3 linked regions of the Danio rerio genome follow. The main gene of each other region encodes a partner of the protein of the gene in region 2 in a complex. Links are inferred from orthologs where the notes say so. Each region holds a gene or a part of one and is shown on either strand. Other genes may lie near its edges.

Region 1 (3,655 bases), on a different chromosome or scaffold from region 2:
TAATGCAGTAATAATGCTGATAGTGTGATAATGTAGTAATAACATTGTAAAAATTTTATTAATGAATTAACAGTAATAACGCTGTAATAATGGAATAATGCTGTAAAACACGTACACATTGCAGTAATAACACAGTAATATTGCCATAATATTGCTGTAATAATGTCATAATGCAGTAATAACGTAGTAATAATGCGGTAATGTAGTAATAATGCTGTAACAACACTTAATTAACACTGTAATGATGCAGTAATGTATTAATAATGCAGTAATAACAAGTAATTAACCCCGTAATAATGCGGTAATGTAGTAATAATGCAGTAATAACACTCAACACCGTAATAATGCGGTAATGTAGTAATAATGCAGTAATAATACTTAATTAACACCGTAATAATGCGGTAATGTAGAAATAATGCATTAATAACACTTAATTAACACTAATAATTCAGTAATGTAGTAATTATGCTGTAATAACAGTTTATTAACCATAATAATGCAGTAATAATACTTAATTAACCATAATAATGCAGTAATAACACTTAGTTAACACTGTAATAACTAGGTATTAATGCAGTATGTAATGGCAACACTGTAATAAAGCTCACCCGGGTCTGAGGGCAGGTACTGGAAGTCCATGGGCTCGCTGACCTCGCGGTCAGATGGTCTGCGCAGCTGCATCTTGACACGCAGCGGCTCGGTCAGGTTAGTGTCGCAGTAGGGCGGCGTGCGGAACACTATCGCCACCTGCCGGTGCACATCAGCCTGAGAGAACGAGCCCTTACTCTCCCACGAGTCCAGGAAGAAGCGCACCTCAATGTCCTCTGAAACACACACACACACAGCATTTTAACCCAGCCCTATGAACAATATTAATACTGAAAATGATCAGTATAAATAAATATATGAATGAATCAAACGTTCAGTGAGACAGTATATGAGCGATGCTGAAACAGGCTGTGTGTGTGTCTCTGTGCTTTTGTGTGTTTATGTGTCTGATTGAGAGTGTGTGTTTGTCTTTAAGTATCCGTGTCTGTCTCTGTATTTGTGTGTGTGTGTGTCTCTGCAGTGCCACACACACACCTTTCTGTACTTTATCACACAGCAGGAAAATCTCGTCTCCTCCTCGACAGCTGCCGGAGTTTCTATTGACACGGCAGATCTTCAGCTCAGCAGTGTTAGGAGCTCCTGCAGGACACAAACACAGAGTTACACACACACAAACACACACATAGATGCACATACAGAAACACAAACAGATACACACAAACGCATACAGATGCACAAACAGACACACACACACACACACACACACAGTCGTACTGTTGTCGTATATCGGCTGAGAGACGACGGGCTCCAGAGGGAACAGATCTCCGCTGCTCAGGGTGATGGAGACCTGGAAACACAGACGCACCGCGTTCAGGTCGAACTCCTCCTCCCAGATCTTTGCGTCAGGAACTACACACACACACATGCACACGTGCAGAGAGAGAGAGAGAATCCAGGTTGCAGATTAACAGTTATGTGTTTGTAAAATGTCATTCACAAATACAGAATGACACAAAAATAAACAAATGTAATTTTGATCCCGCTTGCTTTTGAAGCGTTGTTGATCGAGTTCTTAAATGCCTATGATTGATCACACGCTCAACAGAGAGGGCTGCGATTGGCTCTAATGGTCAGCGCGACTTTGGTGTTGTTCAGCAAACAGTGACACGGACACTGATGTTAATCGGCCGCGGCGATCAGCTGGTCCATTATAGACGGCGTCGCGGTGGAGAAAACTCGCTCGGCAGACATGGTCGTAACGTTACGTTACAAGTACTGTTATTGTTGTAGCAGCTGAGAGAGGAAATAAAACAGACCCCCTAGTTTTGTGCGATTCTGTGATCGCTGAATCCAACGCAAAAATCAACAAAAAGTCGCACATTTTTGCGATTCTGCAAAATTCTTATTTAAACGCAAAATAATCAAAACAAATTTAAATCTTATTAAACAACAAATTCCAAACCAAATTATATTTGTATTTGCAATTGAGTGTGTCACATGACTTATAGATGTTGCATACGCAGCACACGAGATCAATTTAAGTGTCTCTCGAAAAACGGCGTCTCACCTGCGCCCTCACAATCATTACAGTACATGAAAGCCAGGTGGCGGCGTTTTGCAGCATGTGCAGTAAACAGACGCAGATTAAGTGCGAGTGATTTACATGTGAAGTCAATGCAAAGATGCGATTAGGCATCCTGTGGCGCAAATTGTGCGTTTGACGCGCTGTAAAATAAAGTGTGAGCAAACATCTAACAAACAGAGCAACAGAGCAGACAAAACAGCAGCAGCTTACAATGACGGAGATTGGTTGAGGGATGACTTTAGCAAAGAATAAATAAATAAACAAAAGATTTCAATAAAATAAATTCGCGAAACACTAGAGGGTCTGATAAAACAAAACCTCACGAACACGCCAGCAGGTCAAAGGGACTACAGAGAGTGAGAGAGAGCTGGGTTCTGTTGTACTTCCCTCTCAGTGACAGACTGTCCAGCAAACTCACAAGCAGTCAATTGTGCACAGTTTCTGCTTTGTAAGTTGTTGAAGCAGTTTTAATTACTCACAGCCTCCTCCCTCGCTATAGTAAGCTACCGCCATATAGCGCATGTGTGATAAATGACGTCAGTATATAATAAGCGGTTATGATTATTACTAAACCAATAACACACTGTTCACGTCTGATTCTCAGTGCATTGAAGAAACAATGAATTCTGACAGCCCTAGTAACTTATACATACTACTAATTACTACTGACACTACTACTGAGGACTAGGCCCACACGGAATCTGCACACGCAGAAATCTGCAGATTTCCAGCCCATGGCTGAGTCTATTTAGTTACTTGTGTGAATGTGTGTAATCTTATATTTATTCAGTTTTTAAATAAATTCAGTAATAATGTTGACGAGTATTAAAATATTGACATGATTTATTCACAATACAGCTGTCTTGTCTTAGATCTATTATATGAGAGACTTGCTTTGATTACCAAACAAGTGGATCTAATTGGATTTGCATAGTAAACAGTAAATAAAAGTTTAAAATGCATTATTTGTTGACTTCATATATTAAGTTTTTAGTTACGATACTACTACAATCCTTCCGCATAAATCTGCAGAATTTTTACTAAATTCTCAGCAGAAATAGTAAAAGATGTCAGAAGAATCTGTCTGGCCCTACTAATAACTGTATATACTGATGAAGTCAGAATTATTCACCCCCCCCCCCCTTCTTTTTTAAATATTTTCCAAATGATGTTGAACAGATTGAGGAAATGTTCACAGTATGTCTGATAATATTTTTTCTTCTGGAGAAAGTCTTATTTGTTGTATTTCGGCAAGAATAAAAGCAGTTTTTAATTTTTTAAACACCATTTTAGGTCAATATTATTAGCCCCTTTAAGCTATATTTGTTTTCAACAGTCTACAGAACAAACCACTGTTATACAATAACCTGCCTAATTCCCCTAACCTGCCTAATTAACTTAATTACCCTAGTGAAGCCTTTAAATGTCACTTTAAGCTGTATACTAGTGTCTTGAAGAATATCTAGTCTAATATTATTTACTGTCATCATGACAAAGAGAAAATAAATCAGTGATTAGAGA
Region 2 (3,655 bases):
AAAGTGAGAAATTAAATAAATGGTTAAAAGTACTCAAACAACACGTGCTATCATCTCCCGAAACATACACACTAGGATTTAGCGTACAAGTAGATACTCGAACACTGATTGCTACTCCACACACAAACACGAGCGTCTGCTCACCTCCACACTCCTCGATGAGGTTGGCCACAGTCTCCGCTTCATCGTCGGCCATCTTGAGAATGTTACTGAGGCCGTCCAGAACCACCTGCACTACCTGAGCATCCTTCACAGTCAGCAGGTTACAGAACGGAGGAATCACCTGCTGCTGGATCAGGTACGCCACCTACAGGATAAGATCACACCGTGTTTAACACTTCAGCTTGTTGGAAATCCTTGAAAATGCCCAAATTGGAACGGAACAAGTTTGAAAAGTGCTTTGATTTTGGATAAAGTGCTTGGAAATGTAATAAAATATGCACACACATATTATTCATCCATTCATTTTCCTTTGACTTGAGTTCCTTTGTTCATCAAGGGTCACCACAGCAGAATGAACCGCCAACTATTCTGACAAATGTTTTACACAGCGAATGCCCTTCGAGCTGCAACCCAGTACTGGGAAACACCCATACCCTACAGCCAATTTAGATCATTCAATTCCCCTATACCACATGTGTTTATGGGGGAAACCGGAGCACCCGGAGGAAACCTACGCCAACACGGGGAGAACATGCAAACTCCACACAGAAATGCACACCGGCTCAGCCAGGACTTGAACCAGCGACCTTGCTTTGAGGCGACAGTACTAACCACTGACCCACCGTGCCACCCACACATATTATGTGAAGAAAAACTTATTTTGGATTCAATTAATTTTTGCCAAGCACTAATTCTAACATAGTAGAATTGAAATAAAACAATAGTAACTAAAATAATGTGATGAAGTATGGATGAATTATAAATATGCAAGTTGACATGTAGGAAGAGTTTGAAAATGCACCCAGAAAGTGCTTATATTCAACATTGGGAAAGGTGCAAGAACCCTGACGCATGCTTGTGCACCTGAACACACACCTGATCCTTTCTGCCACTGATGGTCAGGTTGCTGATGGCCCACGCTGCTTCCTTCTGAGTGCCAAAATCTCCCTGCGAGAGACAACAACATTACATGGAGAGACTCAACAACAGCAGTGCCATGTTCACGGTAACATTAAAATGTGCCAAAAATTCAGCTCAGTTAAAATTCTCATAGTTTAGTGCAGGGGTTCCCAAACGTTTCAGCCCGCGACCCCCAAAAGGACAATGCCAGTGACTCGTGACCCCCAATATTCTCTGAGGTGGTGGTTATAAATACAGAAACCTTGTATGCAATGATGCACACACACACTAATAGACCCAAGTCTATTCTTTGTTTTTTTAATGTATGTCAGTGCTGTAAATGGGCTAGAAAGTTTAACCTGGTGTTATAAAATCAATCTGCTGCATCTGACAGTATTGCTGTGTCTTTAGTATAATGTAATTACCCAAGAAGTCACAATCCAATAGAACTATTAAATATAAGCTACTATAGTAACTATATAGTTTATAGTAACTATAAACGACTATTTTTTTCTCTTCAGTAAGTTATTGATGAAATACAGTAAGTCTTAAGGTTTAATAAAAATTAATTGATTTTTGGAAATCACCAGGCGACCCCCCTTCATTGTCCCGCGACCCCTCGGGGGTTCCCGACCCCCACTTTGAGAACCTCTGGTTTAGTGAAGCAGAAACACCTCAAAGTCTTAACTTTTGCTTCTCTGGGTCCTAAAAATATTAAAGTTTTTATTTTAGGAGTAACAATTACATTCTCTACCCACGTTAAACAGACCGCTCTCCCAAAAATTACATTTCCTCACTAATAACTGATTGATTCCAAATATTTTTCTGTTAAACGCTAAAAAATAGGCTTAAGCTGGAAACCTGCAACCATCGACCTCAGTGATATTTGATTTTTCTACTTTGTGTTCAACTGAGGAAAACCTTGGACGTTTGAATCAAGTAAAGGTAGGGCTGGGCGATTTTTCCCTTTTTTTTTTTTATTCATTCGAATTTACGTTTTAAGACGATTTAATTTTGAATCAAATCGAGAAATCACGATTCTTAAAAAAAATATATATTTAATACATTATAATGGCACCAATGCGCTTTGGTTCACTCTATGAAGCAGGAAGCACACCAGAAGCACTTCTCGGCGATGCACAGCACCACGCAGCGCCATGGATTTTAGAATTCTAAACCGATTTCTATACACACACCGGCGCCACCCAGTCACGATTTACGAAGCAGTTCATATTTCATCCAGCCCACAGAGCGCCATCTGATTAGTTTCATGTTAAATATCATGTCAATGTGCGCGTTTGGTGTGTGATAGTTTAAACTGTCATGTGCGCACCGTGTCGCGGCGCTTCTGGTGTGCGACCTGCTTGACTGCCTGTTAAAGCATGAAGTCATGTAGGATTTTACTTGTTGCATTAGTCTGAGTCACGTCTGTGTGTATTGTCAATATTGTGAACGCTAAAAAAAAATAGGCTTAAGCTGGAAACCTGCAACCATCGACCTCAGTGATATTTGATTTTTCTACTTTGTAATCAAGGGTCACTAAATGATGAGCGAACTTTACACGTATACAAAAGGATCGTTCACCCAAAATGTAAAGCGCTTAGAGTGTCCAGAAAAGCGCTATATATTTAAATATAAGAAATTATTATTAATATTATTAGTTTAGTACTACTAAAGCTGAAGTGTGGGTGGTAAACTTGTTAAAGAGAGCTCGGGTCATCACTCACCTTATCCAGCAGCAGAATGATCATGGGCACCAGATTGGCATCAATGACGGCCTGAACCTGCTGCTGGTTTCCTGCTGTGATGTTGGACAGGAACCACACAGCCTCCTGCAAGAGCACAACATCCAGATTCATTACACATCAGCCTCACATGTCCTAACAACAAGACTGCAGCAACAAGCAAATATTCTGACCTCAGCAAAAGCAGCGCAACACGACAGAAACATTTAAACACCAGCCACTGCACTCCCAATGAAATGCTGAAGGCTTTTGGTCATTTATTAAGGTCTACTTAATAAATATTTAACATTATTAATAGGCTGCTGAGTGACTGATGTTATTGGTTTGAAAATCAAAGCCCGAACCGTGACCCATTGCAAATCGTCTGCAAGTCATTTTAATTTTCAAGACATGAAGTTAACTATCAGCATGGCAATAAATGCCCATAATCAGTAGCTGAGGTGATCTAAGTCATTGAAGTTTATGCTGTTGTTTTAGTGCGACGTTGCAGAATTAAATAATATATATATATATTATTAAATTCTGCAACGTCGCACTAACAACAGCATATTAACATAAATTTTGCACGCTGCTGTTTTAAAAAAAAAAAAATCCGTAATATGGAAAATATACATTTTTGCACGCATCGTATCGTGTGTTGTTACAACACAGTGTCAGAGCTGGTAAAAGCGTGACACTGCACGCAATAGAGCAACTTACACAGGGTTTCGTTTACAACACTTTAATGTAAATTTAGGTTTATTCAATACTTACAGGATTTAGCTTGTAGGGTGGTTTATAAGATATTTATGATCATGCATTTTCACAGCAAAACACAAGAATTAAAGCAAACTAAGCTTTGAAAAAAA
Region 3 (4,356 bases), on a different chromosome or scaffold from region 2:
ATTGAAATTCTATATAAATAAATAAAAATAAAAAACAAAAGGAAGACACCAAAAACAGATTTATATTAGCTTACGATAGACAGAGCTTTTACATTTTTTTTTACAGCTTTAAGAGACTTCATTAGCAGAATAAGTTTGTTGAAAAATACTATGTATAAAGGAGGAGTTTTTGAACATTCTACATTTGTGGATAAAGAATTTACCATTAAAAATAATAAAATTAACAAGTTGTTAATTAGTTTATCACCCTTTTCAAAATAACAAATAATTTATTTTCCATTCAATGTTATCAACATATTATTTTTAGCAGAATAATCAGAAAAAGATCTTTCTCAATATCTAAAAATTTGGAAAGTAACACGTTGGTTGGGTATATTTATTGTAAAATTTTTAAATTAATTTCTCTTACTTTATTTTAAATGCAAAATTTGTATGGTAGCAGCCATGCTTTTCTCCAATTGACCTCCCATAATAACGAATTCCAATAAAATTTCCCTCTTGGAATAACTCTATTTTTATCATCAAATACTTGCCTAATGTATTTGTTAGTACATTTTTGTCAAATATATTTTTACGATTTATCAGGAAATTACATTCTTTATTTTATATCTTATAATAGGTCAAATGACTGTACATGTACCATTAAATTAAGGAGTCTCGAGGGGATATCTTGATCACTGTTGAAAATTCTTTAAATTTAACAGGAAAATTGAACTTAGATAAAAATGATTTATATGAATAAATCCTTAAAGATTAATTAAATATATCACTTACATGTACCAATATTTTCCAACAATTTCTCCAAATATAAACTCTTTTCTTTAACAGTAACTTATTCCAAATTTTCATTCTGTGTGGAGAAAAAATTATACACAAAGCAAAGTTTCCAAGCCGAGAGTGCTTGCTCATGAAATTTAGATCATTTTACTGGTAATTTTGATGGTGAAAAATTGCAAGTCAAAAGAAACTTGAGACCATCCACCTTCTTGAAGATACTGTGTGGAATAAAAAACAAAAACATCATGAATTAGGGTCAACGGCACATTTTTTTCATCCTAATAATCTTGAATGTATTGTTCATAGCTATATAATCTAACATCTCAAAGCCTCCAAATAACATCTCAGCTTTTTTTCATTTATTTTTTTTATTAAACAACAACTAATATACATTTTAAACATGACATCCAAAAAATACAAATGTAACTAATAACATAAAATAAACAAAAAATAAATTACATAAAATAAATAACGAGACAATTCAACATAAAGATCTTTACAATTATATTATTTTAACCTATTTAATTGACAATAACTTTACTAGTCAATTAACTTCAGCTCCTTTGCCACTATAATTGTATTTTGACATTTTTAATAATAACATCTCTGCTAACACAACCCTGTCGACACTATTGCGTCATTGTAAAGCGCGGGGGATTATGGTTAGTCAGCGGAAGTAAGATGGCGGAGGAGACAGCTGAGGGTAAGTGATGTTTATGTCTGAATTACTGGTTAAGCATCCTCCGTGCCCGTTTATTTACTATAACGACTCGCGTTATGTGAGAAACTGTTTGGAGTTGATAGATTTATTAACGTAATAATGTCGTAGCGTTCAAACAGACCTGCATAATCAGAGATATGACTAATGTTTACATACAATCACATTATTTATGATTGAAAGTGTAGTGCGGGTATATGTGATTCGGTTTATAAATAATAGGCTTAACGTTATGTAGTTCCTTTATTACACTAGGCAGTGTTTATTGTTCAGGTTTATTTCTTGTAACGCACGTTATAGTGGGTGTGTGAGTTTGAAACATCTGCGTTTGAGATAAGAGGCATTGCTGTATAGTACGTTATGCTCTTTCCAGCTTGAAATGTCAACAGTAATGTGACTTTGAATGCTATAACTCTTCTACTATACCTTTATCTTAAACCAGATGATAATTCATTCGTTGTTCCAACATTACCAGAGCATTACAAAACAACAAGTGTACAACAATTCTTTACATTTGAGGTAAAGTTGGCTTTATATTCGCACATTATGTCTTCCCTGCTGAAAAAGAAACAGCCTAAACCTGCCTAAGCTGGTTGACTGGTTTTAGCTGGTCGACCAGCCTGGTTTTAGAGGGGTTTTGACCATTTCCAGTCTGGTTTCTAGCCTGGTCTTAGCTGATCAGGCTAAAAAATAACCAGCCAAAGCCAACCTTAAAGAACTGGTTTAAGCTGGACATAGCTGGTTTTGGCTAGGCTGGTCAAGTTGGATATGGCCTGGCCAGCTAAGACCTGGTTGGAAATGTCAAAACCCCCTCTAAAACAAGGCAGACTGGTTGAAGCTGTTTTTTTTTTTTTTAGAAGGGTTTCTCTTTAATAATATTATTTCAGAATCAGAAAATTATTTTTTTTTGCAAATTCTAAAAAGGGAAATTGTTTTTTTTTTCAGCCAAAGATGATCAAAGTAAAACATTTTCACAGTCAAATAAATAGTGGCAATGTTGTTTTTAAAGTCATACCTACAATTAAGATCGAATATTCAAAGTAGCATGTCAAAATTGGCTCAGAAATGAACAAATGTGCAAATATAAAACCAACTTTACCCCGATGTCTTTACAGGCTGCAACAGATAATAACATTATCTGTATGATTATCAATAACATTTCACAATTTTACTACTTGTACTGTATTTTTGATCAAATAAATGCAGCCTTGGTGAGCAGGAGAAGCTTGATTTAAAACATTTAAAAATCCTACTGACCCCAAACGTTTTACAGGTAGTGTATATTTAGGACAAGGATCACAGTTCAGCATAAAAATACTAATTAAACATTTTTACTTTTCCACTTTTTCTTGTCAGCAATAAGTTATTTTTTTTTTATTATTAATTAAAAGTTTTAATGATTATTTATTCATGTATTTTGTATATTTTAATATATATTGTGCATGTTTTCTTTCTTTTTTTTCTACATAAATGCATATTTTAAATGCAACTTTAATTCATTTATTTTCCTTCGGGTTAGTCCCTTTATTCATGAGGGGTCACCACATATTTAGCATATGTTTTACAAAGTGAATGCCCTTTTAGCTGCAACCCAGTACTGGGAAACAACTATACACATTATATATATATATATATATATATATATATATATATATAACCATTCACATCCACAAGAGGTAAAATAGGAGGGTACTTCCAGCGGGATTCCTCTCCATCAACTTGATAACATTAATTGGATTCATAAATTTCTCTAAACTACTGCCTCGATCAACACAAAACAGGTGTCATTAGAAAGCTTAGATTTTGGTTTCTATAATGCATGTAGTGATTTTGATTAACTTCAGTGTAGTGCTGAGTTAGTTGCTATCAAACAAGAACAAAGCAATCGTAATTTATGATTCTGTGATGTGAAAAACACCATATAGCTCTGAAAGTCTTGTCATATATCATTTAGATATATAAAAAGGCATATTTGTTTGGGGTGTTGTCTAAAATTGAGCGAATGCTTGTATGCGATGTTCCCCCTGACCCATATGTCAGTAATATAGATGTCATTTATGTGATGTGACTTCATTGTCAGATCATGGTAAATCATACAGTATTCACAACAGATTTTTGTAATTGAGCCTGGACTCACCGCAATGTGAAAGTAAACGTCACAAAACTGTCTCTAGTCGTGGAAAATCGAACATTATTCATAGCAGATTTACCCGATTACTAAAGCTTAAGCTCACCATAATCCATATTCATCATGAAGACCGCACAGAAACACACATAGTTAAGTACATACTATTGATGAATTATTGTTGTGGTTTTTCTACTCGTAACTTTGTGAAACATGCTCCGATCCTAATAAATTACACATTGTTTAGCACTAAAGTAACGATGCTCAGTCAAAGAGATTTGAAGATATATCATATTGAGTTGTTGTTTATGTCGTTTATTATAAAAACAAAGCCAGATTTTCTGTCATGCTTTGACTTGCAACTTCATAATACTTGCTCAGATTGTAATAAGTGGCACAAGTTTTTTTTTTATACAGCAGATTTAACTTAATTCCTTTTTTGTATCGAAAGTTGCCATTCATTCATTCATTTCGGCTTAGTCCCTTTATTAATCTGGAGTCGCCACAGCGGAATGAACCGCCAACTTATCCAGCACGTTTTTATGAAGCGGATGCCCTTCCAGCCGCAACCCATCTCTGGGAAACGAAAGATGCCATGTCATGTCAAATTTAAAAGCTATACTTTTTTTTTCTTCCTATAGACGAACACTGTTTTTACTTTAACAACGTCTCAGCCACTATGTATCGAAAAATGATCATTAACGCGATAATAATACATGCTATATGCAGTGGTTCC

What was found.
Region 1: the proteins of kpna4 (region 2) and rela are in contact, whole or in part, in a crystal structure (PDB 7LF4), measured with the Homo sapiens proteins. The link is inferred for Danio rerio from reciprocal best matches to the Homo sapiens genes KPNA4 and RELA. Residues at the interface, in NP_002259.1 of Homo sapiens: Lys231, Asp271, Arg306, Asn310, Val312, Thr313, Gly314, Thr315, Asp316, Thr319, Lys344, Glu345, Trp348, Ser351, Asn352, Ala355, Glu387, Trp390; in NP_068810.3 of Homo sapiens: Lys301, Arg302, Lys303, Arg304, Thr305, Tyr306, Glu307, Phe309.
Region 3: the proteins of kpna4 (region 2) and ranbp3a are in contact, whole or in part, in a crystal structure (PDB 5XZX), measured with the Homo sapiens proteins. The link is inferred for Danio rerio from reciprocal best matches to the Homo sapiens genes KPNA4 and RANBP3. Residues at the interface, in NP_002259.1 of Homo sapiens: Arg96, Leu99, Ser100, Asp102, Arg103, Pro105, Phe133, Trp137, Thr140, Asn141, Ala143, Ser144, Gly145, Thr146, Ser147, Thr150, Glu175, Gln176, Trp179, Gly182, Asn183, Gly186, Asp187, Asn219, Trp222, Val225, Asn226, Arg229, Asp261, Trp264; in NP_015561.1 of Homo sapiens: Asn114, Tyr115, Cys116, Pro117, Pro118, Val119, Lys120, Arg121, Glu122, Arg123, Thr124, Ser125, Leu127.

The regions. Positions count from the first base shown.
Region 1 is NC_133182.1:1,073,425-1,077,079, forward strand, and holds part of rela (transcription factor p65), read right to left. Parts: intron 1,459-3,655; coding exon 1,324-1,458; intron 1,189-1,323; coding exon 1,084-1,188; intron 825-1,083; coding exon 609-824; intron 1-608. UniProt on the Homo sapiens protein: NF-kappa-B is a pleiotropic transcription factor present in almost all cell types and is the endpoint of a series of signal transduction events that are initiated by a vast array of stimuli related to many biological processes such as inflammation, immunity, differentiation, cell growth, tumorigenesis and apoptosis.
Region 2 is NC_133190.1:1,641,192-1,644,846, forward strand, and holds part of kpna4 (importin subunit alpha-3), read right to left. Parts: intron 2,895-3,655; coding exon 2,790-2,894; intron 1,111-2,789; coding exon 1,039-1,110; intron 308-1,038; coding exon 145-307; intron 1-144. UniProt on the Homo sapiens protein: Functions in nuclear protein import as an adapter protein for nuclear receptor KPNB1. Binds specifically and directly to substrates containing either a simple or bipartite NLS motif.
Region 3 is NC_133186.1:6,422,019-6,426,374, forward strand, and holds the start of ranbp3a (ran-binding protein 3a), read left to right. Parts: upstream 1-1,442; 5' UTR 1,443-1,458; coding exon of another isoform or gene 1,459-1,480; intron 1,481-4,356. UniProt on the Homo sapiens protein: Acts as a cofactor for XPO1/CRM1-mediated nuclear export, perhaps as export complex scaffolding protein. Bound to XPO1/CRM1, stabilizes the XPO1/CRM1-cargo interaction. In the absence of Ran-bound GTP prevents binding of XPO1/CRM1 to the nuclear pore complex.